Rhinolophus ferrumequinum: one gene and its partners. The protein of the gene in region 1 interacts with the protein of each later gene in a biochemical or structural test. Links are inferred from orthologs where the notes say so. Each region holds a gene or a part of one and is shown in the gene's direction. Other genes may lie near its edges.

Region 1 (7,128 bases):
GGAGCGGGGGTGGAAAGGAGGCCTTAAGTAGGGGTTGGGGAGGTGCTGGAGGAGGGGCTGGGTCACAAAGGATGGGACCCCAGTCGGCCAGGTATCCGTGGGCAGAGGGAACAGGGAGCCCTCCAGCCATTTTCCTTGATGCCCCAGAGGAGGGCGAGCCCTCCGTGAGAACAGAGTCCTGTTCAGCGCTGTGGGCGGGTAGGATGGGGTGGGGGGCTGAGGAGCCCCCAGAGGCCCTGGGGCCACTGCAGTTAGATCTGCTGTCTGTGGGAAGGAGAGGCACATTCTTCCACTAAAAAATTATTCCTTGTTTGTCTGATATTCAAATTTGACTGGACATCCTGCATTTTTATTTCCTAAATCCAGCAACTGCCGCTCGGAACCCTGGACTCTCACTGTACTTGGCCACTGAGACTGCCCTGGCTCCCAAGGCCCATCCATCTGGGGACCCTTGAGGAGGGCCACGCCCCTGCCTCCAGGCCCTCCCCCTGCAGAGGGAACTGAATTCAAATGAGGTCCCTGGGAGCCCAGAGGGTATTGCCCCCCCCTCCATCTGGCGGCTTCAGAGCCCCGCCCTGCCCCCTCCCAACCTTGATAACGACGCTTGATCTCCTTGAACCTTAATATCCTCATCTGCAAAATGAGAAGAATGACTGCAGGGCCTGGCACAGGGAGACCCCAGGCCATTCACTGGCCACTCAGGCCCCTCCCCAGAGAGCCCTCCTCCGGCCGTCCCCATTGCTGTCTGTTCCAGCGGGGCACCCCCAGTGGTCCATCATCACCACCCAGCTAAGCCCCCCCAAGGCCTCGTTTCTCTCTCACAGCCTTCTCCTGCTTCACAGCCCTGCCCGTGTGATGTGACCATACTGTGACACGGGTCCCGCCACCAGTGGGGTTTCAGTAAGTGTCTGAAGGGAGTGCATGGCTCCTGTGAGGACACCCACAAGAGTGCCACTGCTGCCCTGAGTGCCACAGCAGTCGATTCCGACTGCTGCCCGTTGCCCAGCTGTGCCCCCAGGCTTGGCCCCTGAGCCCGCGAAGGCAGGGCTCTGGGTGGCGTGAGGCCCTGGGGTGGGCAGCGTGCCCTGCTTGCCCTGCCTGGCTGGTGGGACAAAGCACTCCTTGGACACCTGACACAAGTTGTGGGGCACAGACAGGGACCAAAGCAGGCGAGGACACTGCGGGCGAGAGCCTGGGGCTGGGCCTGGGAGGCCAGCAAGTTAAGGATGGGCCAGGGAGGAGAAACATCCCTGGGGCAGGGGACCGTGGGAGAGAGGCCCTCTGTGCCTCTCCAGTTACAAGGTCTGAGTTAAGCCCTCCTGCCCTGCCGCACCCCGAGAAGGGACTGTCCTAGGCAGCCCCAAAATGGCACTCTGGAGCTGGCCACCACATGGCCCTTGGGTCCCCTATCTGGCCCAGCAAGGTCTCAGGCACAGGGATGACAGGAGGTGTCGCAGTGGTGCAGGCAGAGCCTCCCTGGATGCAGTCAGCCAGGCGGCCATCTGGCTTGGGAGCTGCCTTGAGGCCCCGCCCTGCAGCTGCTGCCCAGACTAGGCAGCCGGGGGCACTGGCCCAGGAGTCCTGCCCGATGGCCGGCAGCTGCAGAAGGTGACAGGGCTGGAGGCCCCTGTACTCAGGGAGGGATCAGGCAGCTGCCCTCCCTGGGGCCGGTGCAGCAGTTTTTGTTGGAAACATCTGGCCAAGGGGCTCCCCAGCGGTTCCAGCAGTGGCCAGGGCTGGCCAACAGGGCTCGTGCTCTCCTTGCCATTCTGTTTGGGGGGTGGGAGAGGAGTGTTCTTGGGGAGAGGAGCTCCCTCCAGGAGCTTTCCCTCCTGGAGTCCAGTGGAGGAGGGGGCTGGTCCTGCCCACAGGGATACGCCAGTCACAGGGCAGGCTCACACAGAGGCCAAGACAGGACTGGGTGCTGCACAGACAGGGTGGGTGCAGGGCTCGCAGAGGGTCCCGGGTACCCACTGTGCGCCAGAGCTCCGGACGGAGCATGTGGAGAGGCCCCTGGAGACGGGGGCTTTGGACCACCTCAGCGCAGCCTCCTGTTCAAGATGCGGATCAGCAGGCCGGAGAGGAGCCTGGGGAGTCGCCACGTCTTCCATGAGAAGGCACCTTCCTGGTCCCCCAGTCGCCACTCGCTGACACCTCACCATTCTCCTCCCATCTTCTGCCTTCTCCAAAGCATTGCTGAATCCAGGATGGGGTGTGGGTATGGAAACCCCACCTGGGAGAGCAGTATGTCGGTGGGACAGTCCCAGAGGAGGCCCCAGGCACCCATGGGAGGATTTGTGGGGTGAGCGATGGAGAGATGTCAGACATCTGGGGGTACCCTTAGGTCAGGGATCTGGCCCAAGCAGCACAGACGGGCTGGGTCTGTCACTTGGCCCCTGGAGGCAGGGCCCTGCCTGGGGGTACACAGTAAAAACTGAGACAACTGTGCTGGGGTGGGGACACAAGGGCCAAAGGGAGATGTATGGAACTGGGGCCCCTTTCTAAGGAGCGGGTGTCCCCTGAGCAGGGGAGAGAGTCCTTCCCTGAGAAGCATCCTTCTCTCAGTCAGCCTGAGAGGCTGGGACAGAGCCCCAGTTTCCGCTGTAGACGCTGTCCTGGGGGTTCAGCCGGGCTGCACCTGCTTCTGACCCAGATAAAGTGTCTATACACTCAGGCTGAACTCTGACCCTGGATGAAGAACAAAAATGTCCCCCCCCCCAAAAAAAAAGCAAAAACAAACATACCACCCCAGGAAGATAGCTCACAGTGGTCTTCATTTCACAGAAGGATTACTATCAACTTGGAGGCCTCAGGGCTGGGGGGAGGGGCAACTGTAGGAACCTGAGGCTCCCGTGGAGGGCCAGGGCCAGGGAGGGCTCCAGGGTGGAGCACAGTCTGCAGTGTCCTGGGAATCTGTAGGAGGAGGGTGCTAGACTCCCTCTGCCTCTGGTCCCTTAGCTGCCCCCCAGTGGACTGTGGGTGCCCAGGGCCCACTGAGACAACAGGGAGGGGCTTGGGCGGCCTCTGCTGTCAAGACCCTTCTCTTGAGCCTGCACCCAAACCTGCTCCCGCTTTGGGTATGTGCTCCCAGCTCAGAGAGGGCAGTCCAGGCCAGGTGGATGCCCCTCCACTGGTTCCTGTGCCCTCTTTTCCCTCTGTCACCGTGGGAAGAAGTCCCCATCCACTTTGTAGCCGCCACGTGTCAGCATCTTCCTTCTGGGGGAGGGGAAGTTTCTGGAAGCCCCCTGCCAAGGAGGGAGGGCTCAGAACCCCTGTCTCTCCAGGGCCTGGCTTGCCCTCATCAGTCCCCACGTCCCCGATGGCCCAGCCTTCCAGGCCCACCTCCAACCTGCCCTCCCCAGCCTCCTGAACCGGTGGGGCAGGGACCTCTGATTGGGTCTTTCAGGACAATCTTGGCGCCTCTCTCCCTGGACCCAGTAGGGTGCTACCCACTTGGGTCACAGCACATTCTGATATCAAACTAACCTACATCCCATCCCACCCCCATCCCATGGAGACAGAAGCCCTCATTCGTCCCCGTCGCCGCACAGAGAGGCCGAGAAGTGCGGTTCACCGGACAAACCGGGAAACTGAGGCCAGAGAGGGCGTGCCCGGGGACTGGCAGAGCAGTGGGCGCTGGGCGGGCGGGCCCAGCCCCGGCCCCCGCCCTCTGAGCCCGGGTGGGGGCGCAGGGCCGCGGAGGCGGATGTGGGCGGGCGGCCGGGCGGGGCGCGCGGGGCGGGGACGGGGCGGGCCGGCGGCGGCGGCGGGACGGAGCGGCGGCGGCCGGCCCAGCGCGCGCGCAGCAGGCACCGGAGGACGCGATACGCGGCCGCGCACGAGCACCGGGCCCGCGGCGCGAGGCCCGCCGGACAGCGCCCGCCGCCGGCCCGCGCCGCCCCAGCCCGCCCCCGGCCCGGCCCGCGGGGATGCGGAGCGGCGGGCGCCGGAGGCCGCGGCCCGGCTAGGCCCGCGCTCGCCCGGACGCGGCGCCCGGTGAGTCCCGCCCGCCGCCGCCGGGGCCCGGATTTCCTCCCCGCTCCGCCGCTTTGTTCCCGGCCGGCCGGGCCGGGGCGCGGGCGGCGCGGCCGGAATGGAGGCGCGGGAGCAGGAAGTGGCCGAGCGCGGCCTGGGCGGGGAGGGCGCGGGCTACGGGTGCGGGCCGCCGGTCCCGGCCTCCCTCATGACCTTGGAGAAGTGGCCCGCCGGCCGGCGAGGCCCAGGCTGGGGCGGAGGGGCGCGGCCGGGCCCGGACGGGGGCATCTCTGCGTCGGGGGCTCCCCGGGCGCTCCCTGGGCGCCTGGCCAGCGCTGCCCGGAGCACAGGAGGCTAAGGGGCCTTAGGAGAAGGCTCGCCCCAGCCCTCCTTCCAGTTTGTGGGTGGGCTCTTGGAAGGAGACCTCATCTTCCCATAGACAAAAAGTTGTCCCTGGTGGCGAGGGGCCCAGGCCAGTCCACAAAGGACTCCTATCCCTCGTGGGCCCTGAAACTGCTTCCTGACCTGAGTGGGCTGTGGAGGTGCTGCCCACCCATCCTAGAGGCTGGGGTCTGGAGGGCAGCTAGGGCTTGGTCCCCAGATTGGAGGGTGGGGGCAGATGGTGAGCTCAGTGGGTGGGACTGGTTTCAGAGTACTGCCCTGGTGGACAGAGTGGGGGCATGGGCCTGTGATCTCCGGCCACAGGGCCTCCTCCTTCACTCCTGGGCCCCTGGCCTGCCTCCAGGCCACCCCTGACTGCTCTGAGCCCCTGGTGGGAGTGAAGGCCCTGCAGCTTGGTTCCCTGCCCCCCCCCACCCAGCTGAAACATACAGTTTACAAACCAATGTTGGGAGGCAGAAGGAGGGTTTCCTTTCGGAGCACAGACTACTTTTTAAGAAGTTGTGGCTTTGGTAATGACAACAGTCGCGTAGTGTCTGGTGAAGGCACTCAGTACCGGGCAGCAGGACACAGGTCCCCTTGGTCCTGCCAGTCCTGTGCAGAGAGGCAGCCCGGGTGTTGGGCTGTGTGTGTGTGTGTGTGTGTGTGTGTGTGTGTACAGATGTATTTTTACACATGGGCTGTCGACAGCTGTCTGACTCTATCAGCAGCAGGCCCTTCTCAGGCCTGGGTGGGGGTAGGGTAGGGGGACATCCAGAGGCCTCGGAGTCCAGCCCTCTGTCTCCAGGCCACGCCCACTCCGTGTCACCAGAGCCCCCGGTGCCCACTGTGCTGGGGCTCAGAGCCCAATCCTGACACCCTCATATCTTCCCGCTGCTGCCCATGGGCCTGCTGAGCACTTCGGCACTTGCTTTCTTAGGCAAAGTGTGTCATCCCTGTCCTGGCATCACACACAGGCAGTGAGTGGGGTCTAACCACCCTCCTAAATTTAGCCTCAGACCATCAATGCACAGCAACCTTCTCTGGGTGCCCAGCCCCTGCCTCAAGAGGCCGGTGAGGTGATCTGTGGGAGACCATCTTCGTGGCTGTGGGAAGACCCATATTGGGATCCATTCCAGTGGTTCTCAGGGCTCCCTGCCTGGCCCGGGTGTCCCAGACTGGAGTCTCTTAGGGCCTGCCCTCCGATTGCCCATCTGGAGGGTAGCAGAATACTGGGATGCCCAGAACGGGTGATGTGAGCACTGGGTTTTGAGGGATGTGTAGGAGTTTATCCAGCAGGGGAGCCATGGGGAGGGTCATGCAAGATGAATGGCCAAAGTGTCTACTTAAGAGAGGGCCACTGGTGGGCCATTGCGGGCGGGTGCCAGGACCGCTGTGTGTGTACAGCGCCCCCCATTGTTTGCCTCTTGGATGCTCTAATTACAGACCTGTAACCACCCTGGACTGGGTACTCCTTATAGACGGGCCCGTCTGAACCCCTTTGTCACCAGTGCCCAGTGCTGAGCCTGGCAAACCAGAGGTGACTGATCTACACTGGCCAAATGAATGAACCAGATTCAGGCCCGCAGGGGCACCGTGGTTTAGGAGGGGCCGGGGGAGGGGTTCAGGTCACCCTGGCGGGCTCTGCCCATTTACGCCAGCCGCCCTTACTTCTGGTGCTGCCTTCTTCCTGTTTGAATGTCTCTCCCAGTCTGGGGCAGGGAGGAGGAGCCTATGGGTGGGAAGACTGGATGGAGAACAGGGCGCCCTCACCAGGAGCCTGGGGAGGTTGAGTGGTGTGCCCTGAAGCAGTCGGGCTGCCTGCAGGGGGTTGCCTGCCGGGCTGGCTGGTTAGGGAGGCTGGGGTACACTGGGAGGGCCTTTTGGGGATGGAGTGATTTGTACAAAAGCCAGGGGGAGTGGGAATGGGCTAGGTGAGAGGGACAGGGAGCTCTGAGGGCCTTTTATTAGGTGCCGTGGTGGGAAGAAAGTGAGGGGTGGCAGTGACTCAGGGCTGAGGGGAGCAGGCCACACGGGAAGGTGCACCCGGGCTGAGGCCCCAGGTGGGACGACCCTCCTGGGCTCATCACCAGGTCGGAGGAGTGGCCCCTAAGCTAGACACAGCCTCACACTTCCCTTTGCTTCTTCCAGAGGCTGTGGGTGCTGGCTGGGCTCCGGGAGACCCTACTGCGAGAGGAGCGTGAGTGACGCCTGGGCCGCCTCGGCCCGCAGCAGCGCACAGCATGACCGACGTGGCCATCGTGAAAGAGGGCTGGCTGCACAAAAGAGGTCAGTGCCCCTGGGGGCGGGGCCTGGAGCCGGGGCGGCCTGAGCTGGCCCACAGGCTTCCTTCAGGTGGCAGGTGCTTTGGTGGCCTGCTGGATGGGAGGGGCCTCCCTTGGGCTCCCAGACCTGCCCAGGTGAGCCTCCAGGGCCCAGTGTCTCCCACGGTGTGCAGGGCATGGCCTTGTGTGTCCCCTGGGTGGGGACATGAGGCCCGAGGCCTGTAGCCTGTCTGGCTGGCGGTGGAGTGACCGCCTGGCTGGGCCTGGTTGGCAGGGAGAGCTGCTGCTGCCTCCCTCCCCACTTTCCTGGAAGGCAGCAAGGACGCTGGGGCTGGTCCAAGGCCTAGCTCACTGGTGGCCCAGGGCACTGCCTGAGGGCTCCTGAGGGCAGGGCAGGGCTGCTGGGCCTGGGCTGTGGGACATGTTTGTCTGGATGCCCGCCCAGCCTGCCCGCTCCTCACTCACGCAGCCCTGTGCCCAGGGAGGGGCT
Region 2 (8,213 bases), on another chromosome or scaffold:
GACTCCTCCCAAGCACATGTCCAATACACCTCTCTCGGGCAGGTCTCTTAATCCTTAGGGACCTGGGCCCCCACTGTGCTTCTGTATCCCATCTCAAACAGCGGTGGGACATATCTCTTCAGCACACAGATTCCCCTTGGGGAACTGCTGGCCTGTGGCACCAGGCCATTAGCCTTGGGCTCTGGGCAAGGGACGAGGGGTGGCGCCGTGCCCAGGTTGCAACAGCAGGCCAGTGGGTGACTGCTGTCTGCTGACAGGTAGCCTGAGGATAGCACCCCTCTCAGCCAGACCCCCTGTGTAGCTCGGAGCCTCCTTGAGAGGTGCTGTGTGGCTCTGTGCTTTGATCTCACTGGGCCTGTTTCCTCCTCTGTAGATCAGAGGAGCGGACAGGAACTCCTTCCCCTTGGGGACAGTAGAACTGCCCTTCTGCCAGGAGCGCCCCCTCTACCAGGGATCTCAGAGCCTCTGACCAGACCTCGGGAGACAAGGGGAGACCCTGCAGATGTGGGCATTCCCCCAGTGAGAATCTGGGCAGACCCTGTAAGTGGAGATGGGGTGCTCCCCCTTCAGCCAGAAGATTGTATTTGAAGGAACTGTGGGCTAAACACAGTGGGAAAACTGCCAGACTTCAGACTCTCTCAGCTCCCGATTCCAGAATCCAAGGCCGAAGCTCGCTCAGTACGGCCGCCCCCCAGCTGATGACTCCCCCCTCCCATGTGCAGCCCCCACCCTGGCACCTGCCTCCTCGTAGCACCTCCTACTCTATGGGGCTGGACCCGGCTTCGGTTCTTTCCTGCAAACCTGTCTCTCCTCAGTCGTCCCCTTCTTGGTAAATACTCCCCTTCCCCCTCACAGTCGCTTCAGGGCAGGACCCCCTCCCCCCCCAACAGCAACTACCATTGGGATCAAAACTGATTCTGGACCAAAGAACTTTCCACCCTCCCCCTGCCAGCATCTACCTCGGGGTGATGGCACCAGCCTCCCCACCCGCCTCCTGCTCCCACTCGTTTCCCCCCAGTGGCCAGGGCAGTCATTTTGAACTTTATGCTGAGGTATAAGACACACACAGAAAACTGCACAGACCATTAGTGTAGACACATTTCCATGAGCTGAACACACCCGCGTGACAGACGGAGACACAGACCCGGGTGATCTGTCACCGGACACCTACCCCCTGCTTGAAGCCATCTGTGGCCCCTTCCCACTGAGCCCACTCTAGCCTCTGTCTGTTCCTGAACTCTCCAGGCTGTTGCTGCCTTTGCCCGTGCTGTTCCCTGTCTGTCTCAGATCCACCACCACCATCTCCCTGGGAGCCTCCCCGAATATTCAGAATAAAGATGCTGCTGTGCTCAACTCCTCTCTCGTGTTGCCTTTTATTTCTATAAAATGTCACTGCCTGAAATGACCTCCTCCACCCACTGTGTCCTGTTTAATCACCTCTCTCCCATCCTACTTGAACGTCAGCTCCAAGAAGCCATCGACTGTGTCCACCTTGCTCATGCAGCATTCTCTCACTGCCAGGCACACAGTAAGCACTCAAGAAACTCCGTGGCACCAGCAAACGCCCCAGAGCAGCTTGTACTGGAAGATTCTGTGTGCAGCAGCAACAGGCCACAGTGTGGGATGCTCGCACCCTCCATGGGAAGTGGGGGACCGGGGTGCCCTCGGTTCTCACTCACCCAGTTCTCCATCTTCCTGGCCCTGCGCTCCAGCCCCTTCTGGAGGCGCTCTCCTACGCCCCCCGCAGTCTGAAACTCTTCCACCAGCTGCTTGGTGTGGGCCCATTCCTCCTCACTGATGATGGGCTGCAGTGTCTTAAGGTAATGATCCAGAGACTGCTGGAGTGGGGGCACGGGCAGCCGGGGCAGGGAGTCCTGGTGCGTCTTGAAGCGGCCAGAAACTTTCCTCAAGGAGGATGGCTTGAGGAAGCCCAGGGGCTTCACCTGCAGGCAGCAGAACATTCTGCTCATTCTCTCGCCAGCTCTGGGAGGCCCTGCCAGTCCCACGCTGCAGCCCTGGGCACTTATGTGCCCATCCCAGGATCAGAGATGGTCTCTTGGGTGGTGCCCGCCCTGGCTTCCCAGCCCTCAAGCTATAGGTGTCTCCACCTATCAGGAGCCTGGAGATGCAGGTAGGGGTGGGTGTGGGTGGGGTGTGGCCATTGATCTTGGCAGGGCTCAGGTGAACCAAGTCAGGATGAATGGCACCTGTTGGGGATGGCAGAGTGACAGGAACCTCTCACCTGTCTGAATGCTCAGGGTCCCGTCTTTCTCACCCTGGGGTGATGAGCCAGCCAGCAGTGAGGGCCCTCCCAGAGGTCCCCACCTCCTTTTCTCCCACCCTTGCCAGGTTGAGAAACAGGAGTGAAGCAGAGAAAATCAGGGAGAGCCAGATGACCACAGAACCTTTAGATGAGGATGAAGCCACAGATTTTTTTCCTGAATGTGGGGTGGGGACAGAAGTGGCATGGAGGCGGCGCTGCGGCAAGAGAGAGCTGAGTGGCCTGGCAAAGAGGGTGAAAGATGGCAGAGAGAGAGAGAGAGAGACTCTGGTAGACTCTGGAGGTGGGCAGAAAAAGAGACAAGAGGGTCCAAGGTTGCTGGCAGCGGTAGGCAGGCAAGCGGCAGAGGCTCCGTTCCATACCTTCTCTTTCTGCTGCCCGTCCTCCATGGCAGGACTGAGGTTCTGAGCCCTGTCTGTCTGCCTTGGGCTGGATCTCTAAGCCTAACTGTGCTACCAAGTGGGTGAGCAGAACCTAGCAAGAGGCAGCCACTTGCCTGGGCTGGAAAGAGAAGACAAGAGCCAAGATTCAGGGGGGAGGTAGAGGTGGCAGTGGTGATGGCTATAGTGACTGTGGTGGCATGTGGGGTTGTGGCTGTGGCAAGAACAGCTGCTCCACTTGCCCTAGCTTCCAGAAGCGGAGGAATGGGGAGTGGGTGAGAGGGCTGGTGGTGGGAACTGGATAGGAGCAAGCCTGGAAAACTTTCTCCTTCTTTTCTGGATGGGCCCAGAGCCAGGGAGGCAGGCCAAGAGGTATTAAAAAATCCACCTGTTAGAATGTGCGTAGGTCTGATGAAGGAAAACTTGGCTGGAGGGCAGAAACTGCCTGGCTGCTGAGTATACCACAAGCCTGGAATTAGTCCTGAAAATTGGGGTTGGTGCAAAGGAGCAGACACTGGAAAAACCCTAAGTGGACAGTGGCTCCTACGAGCCCTGCCCATCCCGTTTCCCTTCAAGATTCTTGGGAACCCTTCTAGGCCACCCTTCTGCCAAACCCTCATTCTCTCGAGCGGTGGCTCATTCAGTTGGGGGCCAAGAGTGGAGGACTTTGGGCATTAAAAATAAACCAAAGGACTCTTTGGGATTGGATTAAATTTAAGTCAGCACATCCAGGGGATTCTAGCCAAGCCTCTCCTTGCCTCAGTTTCCCCAGCAGGAAAGTGATCAGCCACCCAGCAGGTCCTGGAGGATGACCTAGAGGCTGTTTGCGGGATGGGGGCACAGCTCAGGTGGCAGCGTCAAGAGTGAGGTGGAGCCTTAGGATCCTGGAAGACCGGGAAGAGCCTCTCGTCCAGAGGCCAGCGGACGGGTACCCTCAGTTATCTGTGCCTGGTAGTGTCTGTTTGAACACTCTTCCTTGCACAGAGGGAGATACAAGCAGAGGTATGCTTGGAATAGAGAGGAAAGGAACTCAAATCAGGTTTGCAGCACCTCTTGCTCTAGGCTGCCCTCTGGGGAGTACTGAGCGTGGGGGGGTAGACGTGAACAGGTTAGGGGAAAAATTGGCAGAGAGGGAGGGCATGGGGCTGCCAACCTGCCACCTCCTGCCAGTTCTTAGGACTTTCTGAGCAGCTCAGCTTGATGTCTCCAAGTGAGTTTCTCTGGCTACCCACAATTACCCAGGGGCCATTTGATAAGCCCAAGCAGGCTGACCAACTGGATGGGGCTGGAGAAGTGGCTCTGGCCTTGGCAGAGACGGCGCAGGCTGAGTGTGGCAGAGAAGGGTGTGTGAGTCAGAGAATAATAGTGAGACACACTCCTGGTCAGCCGGCTCCTTGGCTCCCGGTCTAAGGGTGGGAGTGTTGCCTGAAGCCAGGGTGCTGTCTTTTCTGGGTCGTCAGAATTTAGCTCGACAGGACATGGGCTCCATCCGGCCTCTGACCTTGAGCCTCAGTCTCCTCCTCTGCCAAACGGGGAAGCCCACCTGCCACCCCACCCCAGCAGCTGCAGGCCAAGCTGGACAGCGGCCTCCCCGGCCCTGTCGCCTCAACAGCCTATGTGCCTGTTTCCCTATTCCGGCGCAGCTGCGTGGCTGGCCCGGCCCGCCCGCCTAGTCCAGGGCCCGCCAGGTCTGGCTCCGGCCTCACTTACCACTGTCCTGGCCGCGAAAGCCAACATCTCTGCGCCCCGCCAGTGGACACACAGTCCGCTCCGCCCCCGCGCTGGGCAAAGTCCGCGTTGCCACCTCCGTTGGTGGGTCCCCGCTAGAGTTTCCTAGCCAAGGTCGCCGAGTCACCGCCGCGGGCCAGTAGAGGTGGCCCAGCGCCCACCCACCGGGCCTGGCGGGTGGTGGGCTGGCGGCTAGCAGGCTGGAGGCTCAAGGAGGCCTCTCTGGGCGGGGCCAGGGCCAGTGGCGAGCCCCCGCGGCTAGCAGGGTGCGCAGGGCGGGGCCAGAGTGGCGGCGGGGGCGGGGCCAGAGTGGCGGCGGGGGCGGGGCCAGAGTGGCGGCGGGGGCGGGGCCAGAGTGGCGGCGGGGGCGGGGCCAGAGTGGCGGCGGGGGCGGGGCCACAGTGGCGGCGGGGGCGGGGGCGGGGCCACAGCACCGGGGCGGAACCGGGGGTGCAGTTAGCGGGTTGCGCTCGCAGCGAGGTGGTGGAACCGCGAAGAGGGAAAGACCGGGGCAGCGGTCCAGCTCGCTCTCCACCTCCAAATGCCGTCCAAGCTGTTGGAGGCAGTGGTGTGCACCTCTCTCAGTCCGTTTGGTGTCCTTGAGCGCTACTCTCATAGTGGTAGGAAAACACAACCGTTCGACAGGAGAATGTCTTCTAACATCCCTCAGGATAGGGTCAGAGCCACGCACAAAGATGACAGGTGGAGACCGCCCCGCAAAAGCATGGCTGCGCAACTTCGCTCGCCCGCCCCGCAAAAGCATGTCTGCCGCGTTCCCAGCGCTCGGCGGGCGGTTGGTTAGCCCGCCCTGGTGCGCATGCGCTGGGCGCCCCGCACCAACATGGCCGCCGCCTCCCAGTGAGCCCTGCAGCCGCGAGCCGGCCGTTGCTGGTCATACTCCCTGAGTGCCCCGCACGGACATGGCGGTCGTCTTCGCGGGGGTGACTTTAATTCTCGGTTTTCGGTTATAGCCGGCTGGTGCTCATTTCTCTTCAGAAAGCTCTGAGCACGGGGAAAAGGAAGGGTGGGTGCGGAGGTGAAAAGTGAGGTCCAGCTCCTGACGGAGGAAGATGGCTGAAGGCGAGCGGCAGTCGCCGCCAGGTAGGGCGCGTCGGGCCCGGCCGGGGTGGGGGGCGCGGGGGCGGCGGCAGGCGTGGGGGCGGGGAAGAGGTGTGGTGCGGGGGGTCTCCGCAAAGGAATGATCGCGAGATGGAGGAACTCGCCGGGCAAGAGCTGATGGGCCCGGAGGAGGAACTCGAGTTGAGGGGCGCTGCGGGAGCAGTGGTGAGGACGGCACCTTCCTGAGGGGAGGGCAAGAACTCGGGGCTGCGAAGGGGTGGTGGGTGGGGCGCAACACCCGACTTGGGGAGTCCCGGCTGCCCGTGGGTCGGGTGGGCAGCGCCTTGGCCAGAAGGGGAGGCCTTTTCCACGTCTGGGCTACGCGCTGAATTGAGCTCTTGATGTGGTGAGGACGACGCGAGGGATGCTGGGCTTAGGTGCTCTGTGGGCCTGGGCCTGCTCGGCCCCGTTCCCAGCCGCCTCCATGCCCTGCCCACCGCGCATCCCCCTCCCCTCTCTCTGGGAAGCGGCCTCCGGAGCTTCCAGTGGCGGAGAACTGACAGAGAAACTGGCCTCGGTCCGCTAAACCACTAATTTAAAAAGGCTGGTTGTGCAAGGAGATGAGCGTCTCTAGAGCATCGCCATCTGTAACTCGTATTTACACTGTGGCCGGCCGCTTCCTGGTGCATCTCCAGTACCTGGGATGGAGGTGCTAGGGAAAGGATCTTCGCTTAGAGAACTGTATAGGGGAAGGCTGTTTGTTGACATCCCCCCAACCCCCCCACCTTGAGCTGAGAAAACTTTAAAAATTCTGTTGGGAGCGAATAGGTTGGCCGAACGTAGGTAATGGTTTGAAAGCATTTGATAGTCCTTCTATTTTGTCTTGCATTCTGTGATCCCTGGGAAGGTCTCATAAACTCTGAAGATCAAAAGAGGGCCCCCCCCCAAAAAAAAATAGATGAACAAAGAGCTGACATTTGTTTGGTACAAAACTTCTGTGCGTGTTCTCTTAGAAGTCTTGGTATGACATCAGGAGATATACAAGGCAACCAGAGTTATCACTGAGATGAATGTTTTTGAACGTGGTGGTGGGGCATAGAGTGGGGGAGGGAAGCTGGGTGCTGGAAGAGACGAAGGCTCTGGAGGTTCGCTATGGCTGGGAAGATCCAGGTTCCTGGGACGTGGCCCTTCTTTGAAGTTGAAACAGGCTGTTTTGGGACAAGTGGAGAGAACTACTTAACTCAGACAGTGTAGTGGTGAAAACCTTGGATTTTGGAGTTACATAGACTGTCTGTAAGAGAGGCTCTTACAGACATAGAGAATCTGCCTGGCCAGTCGCAGCCTCTGTGAGCCTGTTTTCTGATCTCTTAAAATGGGGCGACTCTACCTTCTTCACAGAGCTGTAGTGTGTGTTCCATAGATGATGTGGACGAAGCATGGGACGTGGCGGGTAAGTTAGTCAGTGTGGATTACTGGGAACCTTTTCAAAAGTGGTACAGGTTGTACATGTGGACTGGCTCCCAAATGTATTACACGTTATACTTACTCTCTGGATTTTTTTTTTAGGAACATCTCTAAAACTGGAGGTTTCCATCTTATACCAAGAGGTTTTAGGGGAACCAATTGTCCATTGGTCCCTTTGTCAGAGGCAGAATCTGACACTGGAGAGACTGTGGGTGTGACTTCATATATCCCAGTCCTGAGTTTGAAGGCTTTTTTTTTTATTTAGCATTTTATGGTCTGGCGATTTATGAGTGTGTTTCATCAGTGATTTGTTGCAATGCTTCCTATAAGGTAGCCTTTCCCCTGGCAACAGAGCCTGGCCTGGAGGTTTTCCTCCTTGTGAAACAATGTCAGGAGGACTATCCCCTTGCAGGAAATAGTTCTTTCCAGCTTACTCACAAAAGGGCTCTGTTCCCAAAGATCATTTGCAAGTTGATTATTTGGAATGTGGAACACATTTTCCCATAAAAACAATGTGGTTAGGTTACCAGCCTGACCTACAAAACTTTTTATATAGCATCTTAAAATAGCAATTTACTAATAGTAGGGGGTTCTCAGTTTTGGGTCCTGGGAACAGGGCTTGCAGAACAGGTGGGAGGAGGAGGAAGAGAGCTTTTCTGCTCTCTTTCTTGGACCCTTTTTTGAATTTTGAATTAGGTAGAGGTTTGGTTTGCCTTGCTCTTATCTCAGATTCTCCATCCTACTCCTTAGGTCTCCAGGTCTCCTGGCACTTTTATTCCTCAACAATTGATACCTTAACTTTTCTTGCAGAGAAAGGAACGGCAGAAGGCCAGTGGGTTTGGTTTAACGAGCCAATACTCTGTCCTGGGAGTACATGTCTGTCTGGTTTACATTAGGGCTTGGGTATTGTAGTCTTGGTTTGAGAGAGAGAGAGAGAGAGAGAGAGAGAGAGAGAAAGAAAGAGTGTGTGTGTGTGTGTGTGTGTATTGGAGGGAGGATTTTATTTATCTCTTTCCTTTTTCATTTTCTTTGTCCAGATTCCTCGGAGGATATCCCTCCAGCCACGCAGAACTTCATCATTCCAAAAAAGGAGATCCATACGGTTCCAGACATGGGCAAATGGAAGCGTTCTCAGGTACTAGTAGTGTCTGCATTGTAGGGTCAGAACTGGGATGAGAAACTTGGGATTTTTCAAAGACAGTGTTTTGTAGACATGACTGGGGCTCTGAGCTCCTGATCTTTCTTGCTCTTGGAGCCAGAGCTGTTAGAGGCTAGGGAGAGAGGTGACAGGGGAGGTGACG
Region 3 (7,494 bases), on another chromosome or scaffold:
CTTCAATGACAGTCCCATTCGCCACAGCCTCATTGGCAGTGGTGGCAGCTCCCGCCCCTGGAAGCTCAGTTCTGGAGCATCAGTCCTGTCCCTCCAGCTCTGCTAATAAAATCCTGTAAGTCTCCACTTCTTTGCATTTAATTCCTTGCTGCTTAAAGTTACCAAGTGTTTTGTGACTCCTGCAACAAACCCTGCATGATTAGGGCAATGAAGCTGGAAAGACCCCCAGCCATTTCTGCTGTGCTTCCAGAGCCCTCCCCACCAGAGAAGCTGAACTCTCCGTATTATACTTTGCTTTCCAAGCCTTCCCTGTAGTTGTGAGTAGCCTATGGACCCAACTCTGGCCAGTGGTAGCTGAGAGGACACGTGTGGGATGTTTGAGGAAGGACAATTCCTGACAAAAAGGCACCTGCAGGTTCAGGCTACCCTTTGGGTGCTGTCGAGGGAAAACATATTTGGAGCTTGTGGCAATAAACTAGGGCCATGAGGGGAGGGCCAAGGACTAGCAGGCTCACTTGTCCACAAGGCTGCCAAGCCAGTCCTGGCAAAGCCATTTCCGCTTTCCGTATATCGTGACAGGAAGAACTCGAAGGTTTCACTGATGTTAACATTAGTACTATCTGACAAATATTTGCAGATCTTTGCCTCTCAGGCACATAGCAGGCTCACAGCTCATTGAACTGGCTGGGTGGAGCTGTGCAACTAGTTCTGGCCAAGGGGCTGGGATGTATCACTTCCAGGATGGATTGTTTAATTGCCAGGGGAAGTCTTCTAGAGCTCTCTTTCCCTCTGCCCAAGGAATGGTGACTTTTAAGATGGTAGCTGCTATAGCAGCATATTTCTTCGAGTAATCATGATGAACAGAGCTAATGAGCCAACCTGCAACACGTAAGTAGAGTGCATAAAAACAGTCCAAAAGGCTGGAGCTCCAGCAGCCTTTTTGGACCACGAGACAGCCTTGAGGATGAACACGTGTTGAGGATGGATATGACATGCAGAGGATGGCAGAGCAAAGAGGGAAGGAAACTGGATCATTGATGATATATGAACCTGTACTACTGATTTCTGGGCTTTTCCATAGGAAGGAAATGGTCTCCTATCTTGCATAGGCCACGGTTATTGCTATTTCTGTTATACAAAGCCAAATGCAACTCCTAACCGATGCGGATTTCTGGGCAATCTCTTGTTTTTCCTGATGAGGACAGATGTGATTGGCACCCTGAAGCAGTCATTTAAAGACTACTAGGGGGGCAGCCGGTTAGCTCAGTTGGTTAGAGCGCGGTGCTCTTAACAACAAGGTTGCCAGTTTGATCCCCACATGGGCCACTGTGAGCTGTGCCCTCCACAACTAGACTGAAAAAACTACTTGACCTGGAGCTGATGGGTCCTGGAAAAACACACTTAAAATAAATAAAAGTTAAAAAAATAAATAAAGTCTATTAGGGCAATCACAGTAGAACTTCAGTGGTCTAGGCTCTGACGTCACCAGTCAAGGCCAGCTGCCCCATTACCCCTTGGGTTCTTGTGAGATGAGAGGTCTACCTTGTTTGCCTAACGTGTCATTGGTCCAGTTTTGTGTTCCTTGGAGCTGAATGTATCGTGAATGCATATGTGCATTCTGAAGCCCATCTCCGTGGATTTCTGTTCGAAAATACGAGTGCCAAGGAGGACAGCAATATTCTCAAGAAAGGCACTCAGACTGCCTCCCGGGTTGGTGAAAAATGCAAAATCCTGGTTGCTTCTGCCCCAGCTCCTGGGGCCGGGGAGAGGGTGTTCTGGAGTCTCCATTTGTACATGACTAGGTCATCTGAAACCCCACAGCCCCTGCTGAAGCTTCATCCTCTCTCCCTGGCCAATCACATCAGCCTTCCCCATGACCTTCCAGCCTCCAATCTCCCTCTATTTGGTCCTTTGGTCCATCTCCTACCGTGTTTCCCAGAAAATAAGACCTAGATGGACAATCAGCTCTAACGCATCTTTTGAAGCAAAAATTAATACATGTAAGACCTGGTCTTATATAAGACCTTGTCTTATATTATAGTAAAATGAGACCAGATCTTATATTAATTTTTGCTCCAAAAGACACATTAGAGCTGATTGTCTGGCTAGATCTTATTTTCGGGGAAACATGGTACATGCCACCCTTCCAGAGGGCCTCCTGCACCCACACCTTTCTCCTCCCATAGTTCCCCGGGGTCTCTAGGATAGGGTCCAAGCTTCTGGGCCTGGCATTTCAGGATCACCTTTTCAGCAAACCCCTCTACAGAGATATCCCACTTCCTTCCCCCTGTGCCCTGCAATACACTTCCTCCTACATCCCTGAATTACCCTCCTACCCCCTTCTCATCTTTAGAGTCCCAGCCCAAATATCTACGTCCCCAGGAAGAGGCGGAGCTCTAGAATCAGAGTGTCTGGGTTCAAACCGAAGTTCCAACACCTCCTACCTTTTCTGACCTTGGAAAAGGGGATTCCTCTCATTATGCCTCAGTTTCTCAAAAATAGAATGGGGGTGAGGGCTTAGGCAAGATCTGGGTTGGACTCATATCTGGGTGCCAGCACTGTCTAGCACAGGGCCTGGCAATGACAAGAAGCCTCAGGAGCCAACTGATCATGAGAAGGGTGACATCCCGTACCAGGGGAGGAACGAGTACTGGCAAAACGGTGAGTTGCCTCGTCAGGTCCTGTTCCCTTTCTGGACATGATGGCAGGACTGCCCCAGAGGAAATGCCACACCTCTTCAAGTTCTTATGGGCTGACAGCCCATGGAACCCAAATCCACAGGCTGAGTTGTCCTCCTGTGTCCTGGCAAGGCTCTCTCAAGAAACAAAGGGGCAGCTGTCCCCATGGCCATGAACCTCACGGTGTCTGCTTTCTTTCTGTGAATGGGTATCTTCAGCCCCATTTCACAGACTAGAGGAAACCAGCAAGGGTCACACCTGCCCCAAGGAGTAGTTCTGCGATTGTACCCAGCTTTTTCAAATGCCTTCCATTGCCTGGACCTAGAAAAAAAGCAAGTGGAGAAAGGCAGAGCAAGAGAAGCCTACCTTCTTGGAGAAGAGGATTTGGGTGGAATCTCCAGCCTCTTCTACGGGAGCCCAGTGCAGGAGGACATCATTGTCCTGAGGGAAGGAAGGCGGTGTTAAAAGGACTCTCGTCTTAACTCCCCAAACCATATTGCCAAACTGCTTCCCCATTTTGGACCCTCAGCCTGACAAAGCTCCGTTTCTCTCTCCAGTCCCGCAATCATCCTAAGGTCCCATAGCTCACAACCAGACCATACTCCTACAGATGCCACCTCCATCCCGCTCTGTTCCATCCCAGCCCACCTTCTCCACAACACGGATGACGCCAGCGATGAGGGAGTCCGGGTCCTGGTGCTTCTTGGCACTGGTGTGCAGGTACACGCCTCCCTTCTCAAACACAACCTGGGGACAGGAACCAGTGAGGGGCGGGACCCAAGAGCAGAAAGACACCTAAGGGGCGGGGCCCAGGAGGGAGCCAATGGGAGTAGACCCAGGGAGGAGCTATTCCCCATGGGGCAAGGCCTGGGGGAACCATTTTCTAAGGGCATGGGACTACGAGTAGTGAAGCCTGCATACCAGACAGGCGTCCGGATACTGGGCGATGGAAGGAAAGAGGGGAGAAGGAGTAGGGAATTGTGTTATAAAAGGGGCGGGGTCCATAAGAATATCTCAGCAGCTCAGGGGGCGGGGCCAAAAGATATGGGTCTTCCTTAGGGCAGTGGAAGCAAGGGTGACAGCGCGTCACCAGGGAATGGTGTGTTTGCTAAGGATCGGCCTGGCTCCGAGAGATCTGGCACGACCTGAGGGAAAAGCAGACCACTGTGGGGGGGCGTTCCATATAGACAGAAGCGAAAGTGCGTACTTAGTACTCACCCTGTAACCGGCTCCCTCCATAGCCGCGGCCCAAGCCCCACTGTCTCGGGTCCCTCCTTTTCCGGGTCAACATGCTGTCATATCCGGATAGGAGACTCCCCTCAAGCCCGGACAGTGGTAGTGCCTTTGCCTGTTCTAGAACAGGAGTGGGTGTAACCATCTTTCAGAATGGGGTGGCCCAAGTTGAACCACGAGGGTTTAAGTCATATGGCGCAGACTCTAAAGGTGGAGACCAGCGAGGGTGCGCAAGCGCAGTGATACCATCCTTTCCACGAAGTAAACAAGGAGGCGGGTCCAATAGCTCCACCCCCTCACCCAAACGCTTCGAAACGCCTACTACTTTCTCCATATTGTATACTGGCATCGAAGCCCAATAGATGCCCTTTTGCTTGAGGGCACGACTAAAGCGGGTCAGCTGCGGCCATGTCAACGGGGGGCAGTTCCATCGCTCTGCGGAGCGCGATGGCAGGGTCCTGGAAAAGAGAAACGGAGAAAGGAAAACAACGTTGAGAGGAGCTGTACAGCAAAAGAGGCGCTGAAGAACTCGGGTTAACGGGATGAAGCCGTCAGTATCCCCGGGAACGAAGCGGTCCCAGACGAATTCATGAGTCACTGTCGAAAGAAAGCGGTCTGAGACACCATATTGAAATTGGGCAAACCGAAGCAAGAAAGGCTGCCATGTTGGATCTTTGCCAGTCTTGGTGCTGAAAGGGGATAGGCTGGAGAGTCCATATACCTTAAGGGCAAATGATGCCAGGCTGGCTGCCATGTCATCAACGGGCACTGCTTTTCTTATGTGGAAGAGGTTGATTATAAATGAGGGACGTCAAGTGGCTTGCCTTAGTTTACTGTGGTCCTGAATGTGTATGTGCAAGGCGACCATATTTCTTGGGGTCAAATCGAAATGATCTCGGTTTGTTTCCGAACAAACTGAAGCATTTCCCCATCCTTCTTATCGTCACCCTGCTGTCACCGTTGGCTCACTGATCCGGTGAAGCTCCTGTAGCCGCCATCTTTGTATCGGGCGGCCCGATAAGGGAGGCGGAGTGTGCAGAGTGGAGGCGGGCCAACCACAGGGAAGTGACGCAATTCGCCGCCATGTCTCTTGAGGGCGGCGACGGCGCCGGTTCGGCCATGCTGGCTACGGGCACGTGAGTGGAGGCGGCGTTGTGAACCACGGTGTGGGGAGGACTTGGCGGTCCGGAGGAGAGGGGCGCTGGGAGGGCGAACCGCTAGCGAGAGGGGTATGGCCTGCGTAGATGAAAGGGAAGAGATCGCCCAGCGACCGTACGCTGAGCGCTGGAAAGGGATCCCTGGCGGGAACCGTTGTGTCTGACCCGAGGCAAAACCTAGACAGCCTTACCTTCCTGTCTCTAGACCCATTAGGATCCTTACTTTGACTGGACCGTGTCCATAGGGTCGGAGGGTTGCTTGGGGGACCTTGGGGCGCCCCTCAACCGTCTAAAGGCGGGACTTCCGGTTATGCTCCCCACCTGGGCAGGATTTCCTGTTTTCTTTCTAGAGAAGAGGGTCTTTGCTGGTCCCCGGGAGAGGTGGGGTAGGTCTCTGAGAGGTGGAGAGACCTCAGATGTTCACCCCCGGCTGCGGGGTGCATCCTCCAGTTCACCCCACCTTGGAGCCGGGGCACTTTCAGTTTGACAGGTGTTTGGAAGGGGGCTTCACTAACATCCGTCATTCCTTGGGGGACTTTTCCTTTCCTCACCTCTTCCTGGAGTCAGTTTCCTCACTTCATCATCTAAGAGGCCACTCACCTCTCCTTACCCCTCCTGTGGGGGACAGGTTTCACCATTGTTTCCCTCTCTTCTTCATCTTAAACTCCTCCATTTGGGGGAGGGGGTCCTCCATTTCTCAGGTCGTTGGAGGACACAGGGCTTCCAATAGAAGCTGAAGAGAAGGGAGACTCCCCAGATCTTGGTTACTCTCCTCTTGGGTAACTGACTCCAGAGAGCCCCCAGGCTTTGGCAGAGAGGTCTGTGTGAGTTGCCCTCCTTCTCTTTGCCCATGCTCTCTGAGATGGGGGGACCCTTACTCCCACTCAGTCTCACTTCACTCTTTGCAACTCTCTGGCCACTCTAAGATCTAGGATAGAGAGGAGTTTAATCCTGGTGTCCCAAAGAAGTGAGAGTCCCAGGCCTACTACTGTCAGGCTGTGCGACCTTGGACCAGTCATTGCCTTGCCCTGAGCTTCAGTTTCCTCCTTCATCAGATGGGGATGACCCAAAGAGCTGTGAGACCTTGAGCACCTCCCAGTTCTGTTTGGTTTTGGAGTCCGGCTGGCAGCAATTTCGGCCTCACTTCTGCCCTTTCTAGCTGTGTACCTTTGGGCCACTGCCTTAAGCTCTTTGAGCCTCACTTTCCCCATCTGGACTAGGTGATCATAAATCTTTCCTCACAAGGTAGGTAGGAAGACGTTTGGAATTCAGAACAGGCTGCCAGATCCAGGTCTCCCGCTTTCCTCTCCAGCTGTCTGACCCTGGTCAAGATCTTGACTCTCGCTGGGTCTCAGTTACAACTGTGAAATGGGGCGGTAACAGCTCCTCCCTCACAGGGCTGGTGATGAGAATGTTGACACACTTAAGTCCCTGCCGGGCATGTGGGAGGTGGGGGATGAACTTGCCATGGGGTCTGTCAGGAAAGGTGCTGTTTGTGTTGTCACTGCGTGTGGCTTGCGGCAAGGGCTTGTACTCTGGTTGTCTTATTTGTGAGGTGACAGCTCCCACCTTGGTGGGTCAGGTAGGAGGTGAGATGAGAGATGCAGAGTCCCTGCACAGAATAGGTGCTCAGCAAGCACTGGCTTCTATGACTGTGAGTCACAAAAGGCCTGTGAATAGAAATCAAATTACTATGACCCCGGTGAGCTGGATCACAGCCTCGTTTGAATCCCTCCAGTGATGGTGTGCTTGCTTCTTCCTCCAGGAGGCTTCTCAACTGCCCAGCAGCCCTGGCTCAACCACTCTGGTTTATAGGGGGAAGAAAGGCTCAGAGAGGGCCAGTGAGTGGCCCAGGTCACACAGAAGGTTTGAGACAGGGCAGGAAGCTAGCCCATGTGCTCTTTGCTCTTCTCACCTCGTAAGGAGATGTGTCCAGCAGATTGTCTGCTTATAGACCTGTCCTGGGGACACAGATCCCTGACCTTGGTTTGCTCACAGTCGGATAGAGGAAGCAGAGATACAACTGCTAGAAGCTCAAGTGACATGAGCTCAAATGGAGGTAGCCCAGGGCATTGTGGGTCTAAGGAAGGCATCGCCATCCTGGGGCATCAGGGAAGACTTCCAGAGGCAATGCCGGAACAGTCTTGTAGGAAGGACAAAAGCTTCCAGGGTGGAGTCCAGGTGCAGACAGCAGCTTGCACACCATTTTTCGCTCAGCCCCACTCTGAGGCCTGCCATGTACCGGGCAAGGCCACTGGCTCAGAGATGAACCCAACAGGTGTGACTCAGGGGCTCCCACACTAGCTGGGGAGATGGATCCAGAAAGCACTCCCCAGACAGAGATGTCCAAGAATGGGGGTCACTCAGATGTTGGAGCCCATGGGACAAGAAGGGGCTGACCCTATCTAGGGGTGAGGTAAAGACTG
Region 4 (7,661 bases), on another chromosome or scaffold:
CTCCCCAAGCAAAGAGAGGTACGGAGTTTTATAGGAGGGGTAAACGAGGCTGTTCTTCCTTCAATGCTTCAGGGGGTTTTCGTTGACAAAGGGTTTCAGGGCGTGAGGAAGCCCTCCAGCTGCACACCCTGGCCCCAGGTTGCCATCGGACCCCGAGGCCCGCTGCTCACAGGCCCCCAGGAGATAAAGCAAGACGGGATCAAGACAAGACGGCTTCTAAGATAAGGTTTCTGCTCCTGGTCTAAATATGGCTTAATGTATAGAGCATATAAAATGTATTATATATGTTGGATTGAGGTTTGCAAAACGAGTAGGGACAGGACTATGGCCGCACATGTGTGAGACTGATCAAAGTGAAAGTAAACATGTTTATGTTTAGAGTATATACATGAAAGTAAACACGTTTATGTTTTTGTGTGAAACTGAGTATAACAAAATTGATAAACACCTTCACCTAAGAGGTAAACAACTCCTGGCAAACCACTTCTGGTTATCACCTACGAAGTAAACAAGTGCAAGGAAGAGGATTAAAGCAGAACTCCAGAGCAATGCCGTGAGAAGTCTGACTGGGCGCTCCGGCTAAGACCCTCTACAAGGTCCAAGCCGCGATACTCCGGGACTCTCCGAAGTTCTTCCTCGCAAGACCAGCTCGCCTCAGACCCGTCGTGGCCCAATCACCTCTCCCAGACCAGGAAACTTCACCTCGATTGACTCTGGGACTTGGTTCGTTATTAAATTCTATTCTGTATAACCTTCTGTGCTTACCAGAGCACTGCCTCTGGAGGGACACTGGCTCCCAAATAAAGCTATTACTTTATCTGAATCTGTGTGCCAGGACTTTCTTCCCCACTCGTGTCACGAGTGCCACACAGGGATGTAGGGCCCTGCGAAAGGGTTAATGTCCCCTTGACTTTCAGAAATAGACTGAAGTGTGGAGACTGCCTCACAGGTGCTAGCCACACTTAACAAGACTTAACCTGAGAACCTGAATTCTTAACCCCCATGCCAGCACTACTGGACTGTGGACCAAAAAAAGGGTTCTATGGAAAGTAATCTCACAGGATGATCTCATCATAAATTCCTCAGATCATGGTGGGAAGTCACGCCCCAGGCATGTAACTTTTTAGTAAAAAGTTTACCTTTGCCTTAAGCCAGCCCTGTCCATTGTTTTTGTGGAACTAGGTTAACACACCTTTGAAATAAGCTATAGCCACCCTCAAGAAAGCACATAATCTGTTAACTATCCTGTAATCCAAACCCGGCCTTGCTTTCTTCCAACTCCATGTTATCTTCCTTATATTCCCTTCTTAATTTCAAATGCATAAAAGAAGCGACAAAACTGTTGTTCTCCAGATCATTTGAGATCTTGCCCCCTGGCATATGTCATCAGTTTGGCTCAAGTAAACTCTTATAAATAAAAGTCTCTACAGACTTGGATGTTCTTAAGTTGACAGTGCCTACCTCCTAAGGTCTTTGTGAGACTTAAATACTGCAAATAAAGTGTTTAATTCAGGGACTGGAATATATTAAGTGACAAATAAAAGTTAGCTATCATCATTAGCTCATAACACGAAAACAGAAATTCCTAACCACTTTCTCTTAATTATGCAATTCCTTCTCAGGTCAATCTTCAACCTTTTTTGGATCCCCTACTTTTTTCTCCCTGTAAACATACAGAGTTGCCCTCCAAATGAACCACAGGGCAGTCACTGTCATGACCTAGGGGACGCTGAAATGGGTTCAGAACAGGCTTCCTCAAGCTGCTGTGCCATGTGAATTATTTTGAGTTGAAGGCAATGGAGACCCTATGGGCTCACAAGAAACTTCTGCCCCTTCCTTCCCATACATATGTTAATTAAATTTGGTTATTTTCTCTTGTTAATCTGTCTCAGGTAGATTTAACTATTAGACCAGCTGAAAGAACCTAGAAAGGTAGAGGAAAATTTCTTCCTCCCCACAAGGCTCTGCCAGAATATATAGCACCTAAAGGAGGCAAAGAGAAAGAGAGAAGACAGGAGCCCCAGAACCTCTTGAGAGGGTGGTGATGAAACCTGCCTGGAATGAAATCCTGAAAGACAAGCCAAAGCTCGAGTGTTCAGTAAATGTTTTTCATGTAAGTAGTTTGCTGATGAGTGGGGAGTCAGAAGAAGGAACTAATGAGGGTGTCAGACAAAGGAAAGGGGGCAGCTCTAGACCTGAATATTGGGGATCCTTTCTTTCCAGCTGAGTCATGTATTTGTTTGGAGGCTTATACTGTATTTGCGTTTCCGGGCTTACTTGTTGAAATGGATGTAGAAGCGAACCCAAGAGGGAAATGAGCACTTTGCTGACAGGCAGTGAGCTCAGTCCCCAGTGTTAGGGTTTTGGGATCAGAGGGAGTATGGAGCTGACCTAGGTGCAAGGACTGGGCAGGGACACAAGTGCTGAGTGTGACGCCCTCAGAGGCAGAGCCCTGGCATCTACTACCACTCCCCTCAGAACTACATGTTTGAAGTGGTGAATCTACTCAGCTTGTTCAGGTGAAACACTAAAAAAATTTTTGTTCCTCTAGTGACTGAATTTACAAAACGGAGTGGACGATTTTCACCTTAAATCGTGTAGAAATAATTTTTAAAAAAAACTCATGTAGAAATAAACAGTATTACAAGAAGTGGGGAAAGTTTTGACCAAAAATTCTACCTCAACAACCATAACTTACTCAGCTTTCCTATATGAAAAAGTTGAGAGAAATAAAGGTGGGAGGAAGAAATGGAAAAGGACCAAGGAGACCTTTAAGATCAAAACAATTTCAGGCTGAAAGAGAACAATCACTGAGATTCAACCTCTTTTCAAAGTTTTGCCATAGGGACAAATTACAAGGGTAAATTCTTTGGGTAAGATGCACATTTACCAAGGTGAATGTTTATAGTCACTGCCATTTGAACTTTTGATCCTCAAGTCATTTGAAACTTACCCAACACTATATGTACGACCTCTTGTATTTGCCTTGTACTGTAAACTTGAAATACTGAACTTTAAAAATACTGTCTTATTCTCCCCAACTAAGACTGTAAACTCTTTGAAATGGCTGTATCATGTCCCTGCCCCCCATTCTTCACCAAAAGGGTCACAAGGAACTCAATTAATCTACTGAATCTTTAACTCCTCCAAGTTTTTTGGAATGCCCTTGGGCAATGCATTCTGAAAATAGACACTCAACATCATGTTTTTAGTAAAAATCTAATGACCAAGAGCCCAGCCAGTGTAAACACATTCTTTCCACATCTTCACTTTAATGACAAAAGATTGCTTAGATTTAGAGAAGAAAAGGGGTGGACTTCTTTTACAGTTTGTTTAGGTATTAAAAAGAAGCAGCTGAGAGTTCTTTGGATTTTATGAGGTATCAGGGTGCAAAGCCCTGGGTGACCTAGCTTTCGGTTATTGGTGCAAAGCTGAACACCATACTCAGAGTAATATGGGCTAGCTCCCCCCTCACCCCGCCCTCCATGGGCACTTGAAGCTGAGAGTTGTCTTGTACATTAAGGTCCGTCCTGCCAGGCCATAAACCAAATGCAAACTCAGGGCTTCTCACCCGGACAGGCCCACAATGAAAGCAGAGGAGCTGCATGGAAAGGAGCCACATGCAGAGGAGCAACCCCCAGGAAGCGTCCGAGACTCCTTCCCCAGAGAACCCCTTACAAAGACAACCCCAAGTAGCAGAAGCTCATTTGAACGTGGGCAGAGCTGTAAGCCGAGGAGACGGGCACATATGGCTGGGAGCATGAGGAACAAGGGAACGAGGGCACAAACCCCGTTCCACCCCGCGGCCAGGATGTTGTGTGCCATTGAGTATGTGAGCGTCTCAAATCTGCTCAGGAACTGGCGGCCGCACAGCCTGGCCTGGCACTGCCTCCAGGTGGAAGAGAAGCAGGTGGCTTTATTTTCTGAATGCGAGTGAGGGAGCCGAGCCCGGGCTTAAAGAAGGCAGTGTTCCGCGGCGGGAACACCTCATCATGAGGCTCGGGCAGAGCGCGAAACTCGCAATGAGGCTTCCCGGCCAGAGCCGCCGACTGCACTGGAAGCCCGCAGTGGGAACAGCCTCGCTGGCCTAGGAGCAGCGCCACGGGAAGCCGTGGAGCGGGCCCCGCCGCGTCCCCCAGCCAGCTCCGGCGGCCCCAAGCGCCAGCCACTCCGCCGCGCAGCCAGCACAACATTCCATTTGAAAGTAACACCCACGTGCGCTGGTAAACAAGCGCGCGCGGTTGGCGGTGCCGCGCGTCCTGGGCGAGCCTGTGCGGCGCGCTCCCGCCCTCCTCCCGCACGTGTCTGCCAGCTCCGCCCGCGCCGCTACAGCGCTGCCCAGGCTCCTCCCCCTCGGGGGGCGCGCACCGCCCCCGAGCCTCGAGCTCCGCCACTGCTGGGCCCTAGAGCGCCCCGCATTACCAGGCGCGCCCCGCAGAGTGCTCTCCAACTTTCCTCCCTCGACGCCACCTCATCTCGGCGGGACCCATCGCCCTAGGTTGGCTCCCTCTCTCTCACCACCCCTGCCTTCTCACGTCCTCCTCCTATTAACTCTCCCTCCTTAAGCGCGCGAAGGATTGGTTTCTGGTTTTTCCCCTCCTCCCTCTCGTCCTTACAATTTTACTCGATTGTTTATTATTTGCAGGGGGGCGGGGGCGGAGAGGGGCGTCTGGGGCCTGGAGACTAGTGGCCGCGGCCAGTCAGCTCTCGGCGTGTCTTTACGTGTGAGCAGCGCAGCGAATGGCGACGCGGCGCAGAGCTCCCGGGTCACGCGCGTGTGGATACAATGACATCATCTGTTTGTACGCGTCGAACTAGCTTGGTGCAGGGGCGGGGCCGCGCGTCACTGGAGTGACGGGCCCTGCGCAAAGCCCGGAGCCTGGAGCCGGCCGGGTGGGCGGACTTCTGCGTACGCTGGGTTGTACCTTTTTGTGTATCCGAGTGTTGCCGAGCCCGCTCTAGACTCTAAGGTATCTCCAGTGACTTGGAAGGATTTCAGGAAAAAAAGAAAGATATTGATAAAAGTGGAGTTTTGGTGTGCGTGTTGCATGTAGTGTGCATTCTTAGTACACAAATGATTTAGCATCTGATCATTGGATACAGACTTCTAAAGATGTTTTTCTAAACCTAAAGGAGTTTTTCTTAAGAATGCACAAATAGACGTTTGCCGTCATTTACAAATTAGAATCAAATTATTTCCCATTCACAGCTGTTCAAAATCTGCTCTTGCGTTTAGGAATGTGAATAATTTGCTTTTTCCGGTGTTACATTTCTCCCCTAGTTTGCCATGAAAAGTGAAACACGACTGCGGTCGAGCGTCCTGGGTAAGAGACTCAGTGCAAACCTCTTAGTGCCTGATCAAATCTGAGGGCATCAGCTTATCGAAGTCCTGAAGGCACCAACATCTTCGCTTGTCTGCATTTCCACGCCGAGGTAACCCTTGCCATCTGCGGTCAGCATCTTATCTCGCGTGTTACCTGGTGTCCGGTTCTAATGGGGAACCCGACACCAGGGCGGGTCCAGAGCCTGGCGGACGGACACGCTTGCCGGGGACCCCGGGAGCCAGGCTACTTAGAGAGGCCATGCGACTGCGCTCGTGGAGCGTGTGAGGCTCTGCGCTCCCCCCTCCCTCTTCTCCGGGGCCCTCACCGCGCTTTGTTGTCGTTGAGACTCTAGGGAGAGAGGAACCCGGCGGGGACAGTTGAGGGAGCCCGCCGAGTCCGGGGCTGCAGCGCGCGCCCTGACACCCACACCCGCAGCCCCGCGGAGCCGAGTCGCGCAGGCGCGCGCGCGAGCGCACGCACACACACCCCGACACCAGCACACCCGGGCCCGGCGCCCAGCCCTCCCTCTGGGCGGGGATCCGCCCGCCCGCCCGCCCGCCGTCAGCTTAGGTTGAGGCACCCTGCGTGTGTCTATAACTTTGTGCTTCTGCAGCGGCCGCCCTGCTCGTGGAAGGGAGGAGGAGGAATGTGGAAGGCGGCGGCGCGCAGGCTGACAGGCGGTTCCTCTGGCGGGCTGCGGCGGCAGCCGGAGCGCCTCTCCTTCGCGGAGGTTGCACGCCCCCTCCTCGCCGTGCCCCGGGCCCGCGCGGGATTGTGCGTCCTCCCCCCTCGTCCCTGAAGGGAAGGAACCGAGGTAGGCGCCGGAGCTGTGCAGCGGGGCGGCCGCCTTCCCGGTGACTCCGGATCTGCTTCCGAGCTGGGCCAGGCGCTTCCCTTTTCCTTCCCCGTGACTCAGTGTGCGCGCCCCCTTCTCTCCCGCTAGTGTTTTTAAAGGACTTGAGTGAAGGGGGGAAAACTGTCAAGATGGCAGCAGCGGGAGCAAGGAGGTGATGAACGTGCTGGTCCGGGTTTTCTGGCGGCTCGGGAGACTTGGCGCTTCCCGACCTGTTGGAAGATTTATGTTCCGACTTGCCCCCACCCTCCGGTTCTTTCCTGGGAAGGGGGTGGAGGGCACAACGTCCGTGAGAAAATAAACCGCACAAAACCCCAAACTGGCCGTTCCTGCTCGGCTCGACCCTTTGCGAACATCCGCCAGCTGCTTGCCCCGCTTCTTCCCGTCTTTTCTTTTTTCTGGAAGTGACAAGGGCCCGTCTGCGCTCGTACCCACGTTCGCCCTCCCGGCCCGCGGGCGAAGAGGGGAGAAGGGAGCTGCCCGCGCCGTCCCCGGGTTCGGACCCTCCGTTGGGAGGGGGGATGGCAAGGGTGCGTGGAGGCGGCAGGGCCGCGGACGGGGAGAAGAGCTGAAGACGCCACAGACTTTGGCGGCGCCGCGGCGGGAAGCACTTGAGCGGGCCCGAGCGAAACATAAACAAACGCACGCTCGCCCCGCTTCTGGCCCGGACCGCGGCTCCGCTGCGCCAGCTCTGGCCGCAACCCGCTTTAAAGGCGCGGCCCGCGCCCCTCCCCCGCCCCTCCCCCTTCGTCCCCGCCCAGCCACCTAGCCCAGGAGAGACCTGCAGATCTGGCGGCAGCAGCGGCTGCGTCGGCGGGGGGAGGGGGCTGCCCCGTGCGAGCCCGTCGATTCGCCCGTCTCTACCCGGCGGCCTGGCCAGGGGGCGGCGTCTGCTGCGCCAGGTTCGCGGGACGCACGTCTCCAGGTCTGCCTGCTCCTGGGAGGCGGGCGCGGTGCGGTCGGGAAGCGGCGGCGGCGGCGGCGGCGGGTGAGCACTAGCCGAGCGCTGGGCTCTACCCCGGGGTAACCAACTCCTTTTTTCTCTCCGTTCGTGCCTCCCAGGCGGCGGCAGTAGCGGCAGCGGCGCCCGGCACCCCGAGCCTTCGCGGCGTCCCCGTCCCTCCCCCGCCGCACCCCGCCCGGGCGGAGAGGAGAGCGCCAGAGCCCGAGCCGCGGGCGGGCGGCGAAGATGGCAGAGGCGCGGGCCTCCCCGGCCCCGCTCTCTCCACTCGAAGTGGAGCTGGACCCGGAGTTCGAACCCCAGAGCCGGCCGCGCTCCTGTACGTGGCCCCTGCAGAGGCCCGAGCTCCAGGGGAGCCCGGCCAAGCCCTCGGGGGAGGCGGCCGCTGACTCCATGATCCCCGAGGAGGAGGACGATGAAGACGACGAGGACGGCGGCGGTAGGGCCAGCTCGGCCATGGCGATCGGCGGCGGCGGGAGCGGCACGCTGAGCGCCGGGCTGCTCCTTGAGGACTCGGCTCGGC

Evidence for each region.
Region 2: of the proteins of AKT1 (region 1) and PTPA, one has a biochemical effect on the other in vitro, tested with the Homo sapiens proteins (2 studies listed by BioGRID). The link is inferred for Rhinolophus ferrumequinum from reciprocal best matches to the Homo sapiens genes AKT1 and PTPA.
Region 3: of the proteins of AKT1 (region 1) and AKT1S1, one has a biochemical effect on the other in vitro, tested with the Homo sapiens proteins (2 studies listed by BioGRID). The link is inferred for Rhinolophus ferrumequinum from reciprocal best matches to the Homo sapiens genes AKT1 and AKT1S1.
Region 4: of the proteins of AKT1 (region 1) and FOXO3, one has a biochemical effect on the other in vitro, tested with the Homo sapiens proteins (2 studies listed by BioGRID and IntAct). The link is inferred for Rhinolophus ferrumequinum from reciprocal best matches to the Homo sapiens genes AKT1 and FOXO3.

The regions. Positions count from the first base shown.
Region 1 is NC_046289.1:824,479-831,606, forward strand, and holds the start of AKT1 (RAC-alpha serine/threonine-protein kinase), read left to right. Parts: upstream 1-3,918; 5' UTR 3,919-3,996; intron 3,997-6,504; 5' UTR 6,505-6,596; coding exon 6,597-6,642; intron 6,643-7,128. UniProt on the Homo sapiens protein: AKT1 is one of 3 closely related serine/threonine-protein kinases (AKT1, AKT2 and AKT3) called the AKT kinase, and which regulate many processes including metabolism, proliferation, cell survival, growth and angiogenesis.
Region 2 is NC_046295.1:77,724,618-77,732,830, forward strand, and holds the start of PTPA (serine/threonine-protein phosphatase 2A activator), read left to right. Parts: upstream 1-5,199; 5' UTR 5,200-5,459; coding exon 5,460-5,490; intron 5,491-5,564; exon of another isoform or gene 5,565-5,673; intron 5,674-7,949; coding exon 7,950-8,047; intron 8,048-8,213. Other genes in the region: CRAT (carnitine O-acetyltransferase), read right to left, coding at 1,680-1,943, 4,372-4,398. UniProt on the Homo sapiens protein: PPIases accelerate the folding of proteins. It catalyzes the cis-trans isomerization of proline imidic peptide bonds in oligopeptides. Acts as a regulatory subunit for serine/threonine-protein phosphatase 2A (PP2A).
Region 3 is NC_046298.1:44,904,458-44,911,951, reverse strand, and holds the start of AKT1S1 (proline-rich AKT1 substrate 1), read left to right. Parts: upstream 1-4,319; 5' UTR 4,320-4,994; coding exon 4,995-5,047; exon of another isoform or gene 5,048-5,140; intron 5,141-7,494. Other genes in the region: TBC1D17 (TBC1 domain family member 17), read right to left, coding at 3,045-3,119, 3,327-3,425, 3,897-3,917. UniProt on the Homo sapiens protein: Negative regulator of the mechanistic target of rapamycin complex 1 (mTORC1), an evolutionarily conserved central nutrient sensor that stimulates anabolic reactions and macromolecule biosynthesis to promote cellular biomass generation and growth.
Region 4 is NC_046286.1:61,324,066-61,331,726, forward strand, and holds the start of FOXO3 (forkhead box protein O3), read left to right. Parts: upstream 1-4,368; 5' UTR 4,369-4,498; intron 4,499-4,633; exon of another isoform or gene 4,634-4,970; intron 4,971-5,281; 5' UTR 5,282-5,433; intron 5,434-5,890; coding exon of another isoform or gene 5,891-6,437; exon of another isoform or gene 6,438-6,608; coding exon of another isoform or gene 6,609-6,811; exon of another isoform or gene 6,812-7,239; 5' UTR 7,240-7,366; coding exon 7,367-7,661. Other genes in the region: uncharacterized protein LOC117020678, read right to left, coding at 5,891-6,437, 6,609-6,811. UniProt on the Homo sapiens protein: Transcriptional activator that recognizes and binds to the DNA sequence 5'-[AG]TAAA[TC]A-3' and regulates different processes, such as apoptosis and autophagy.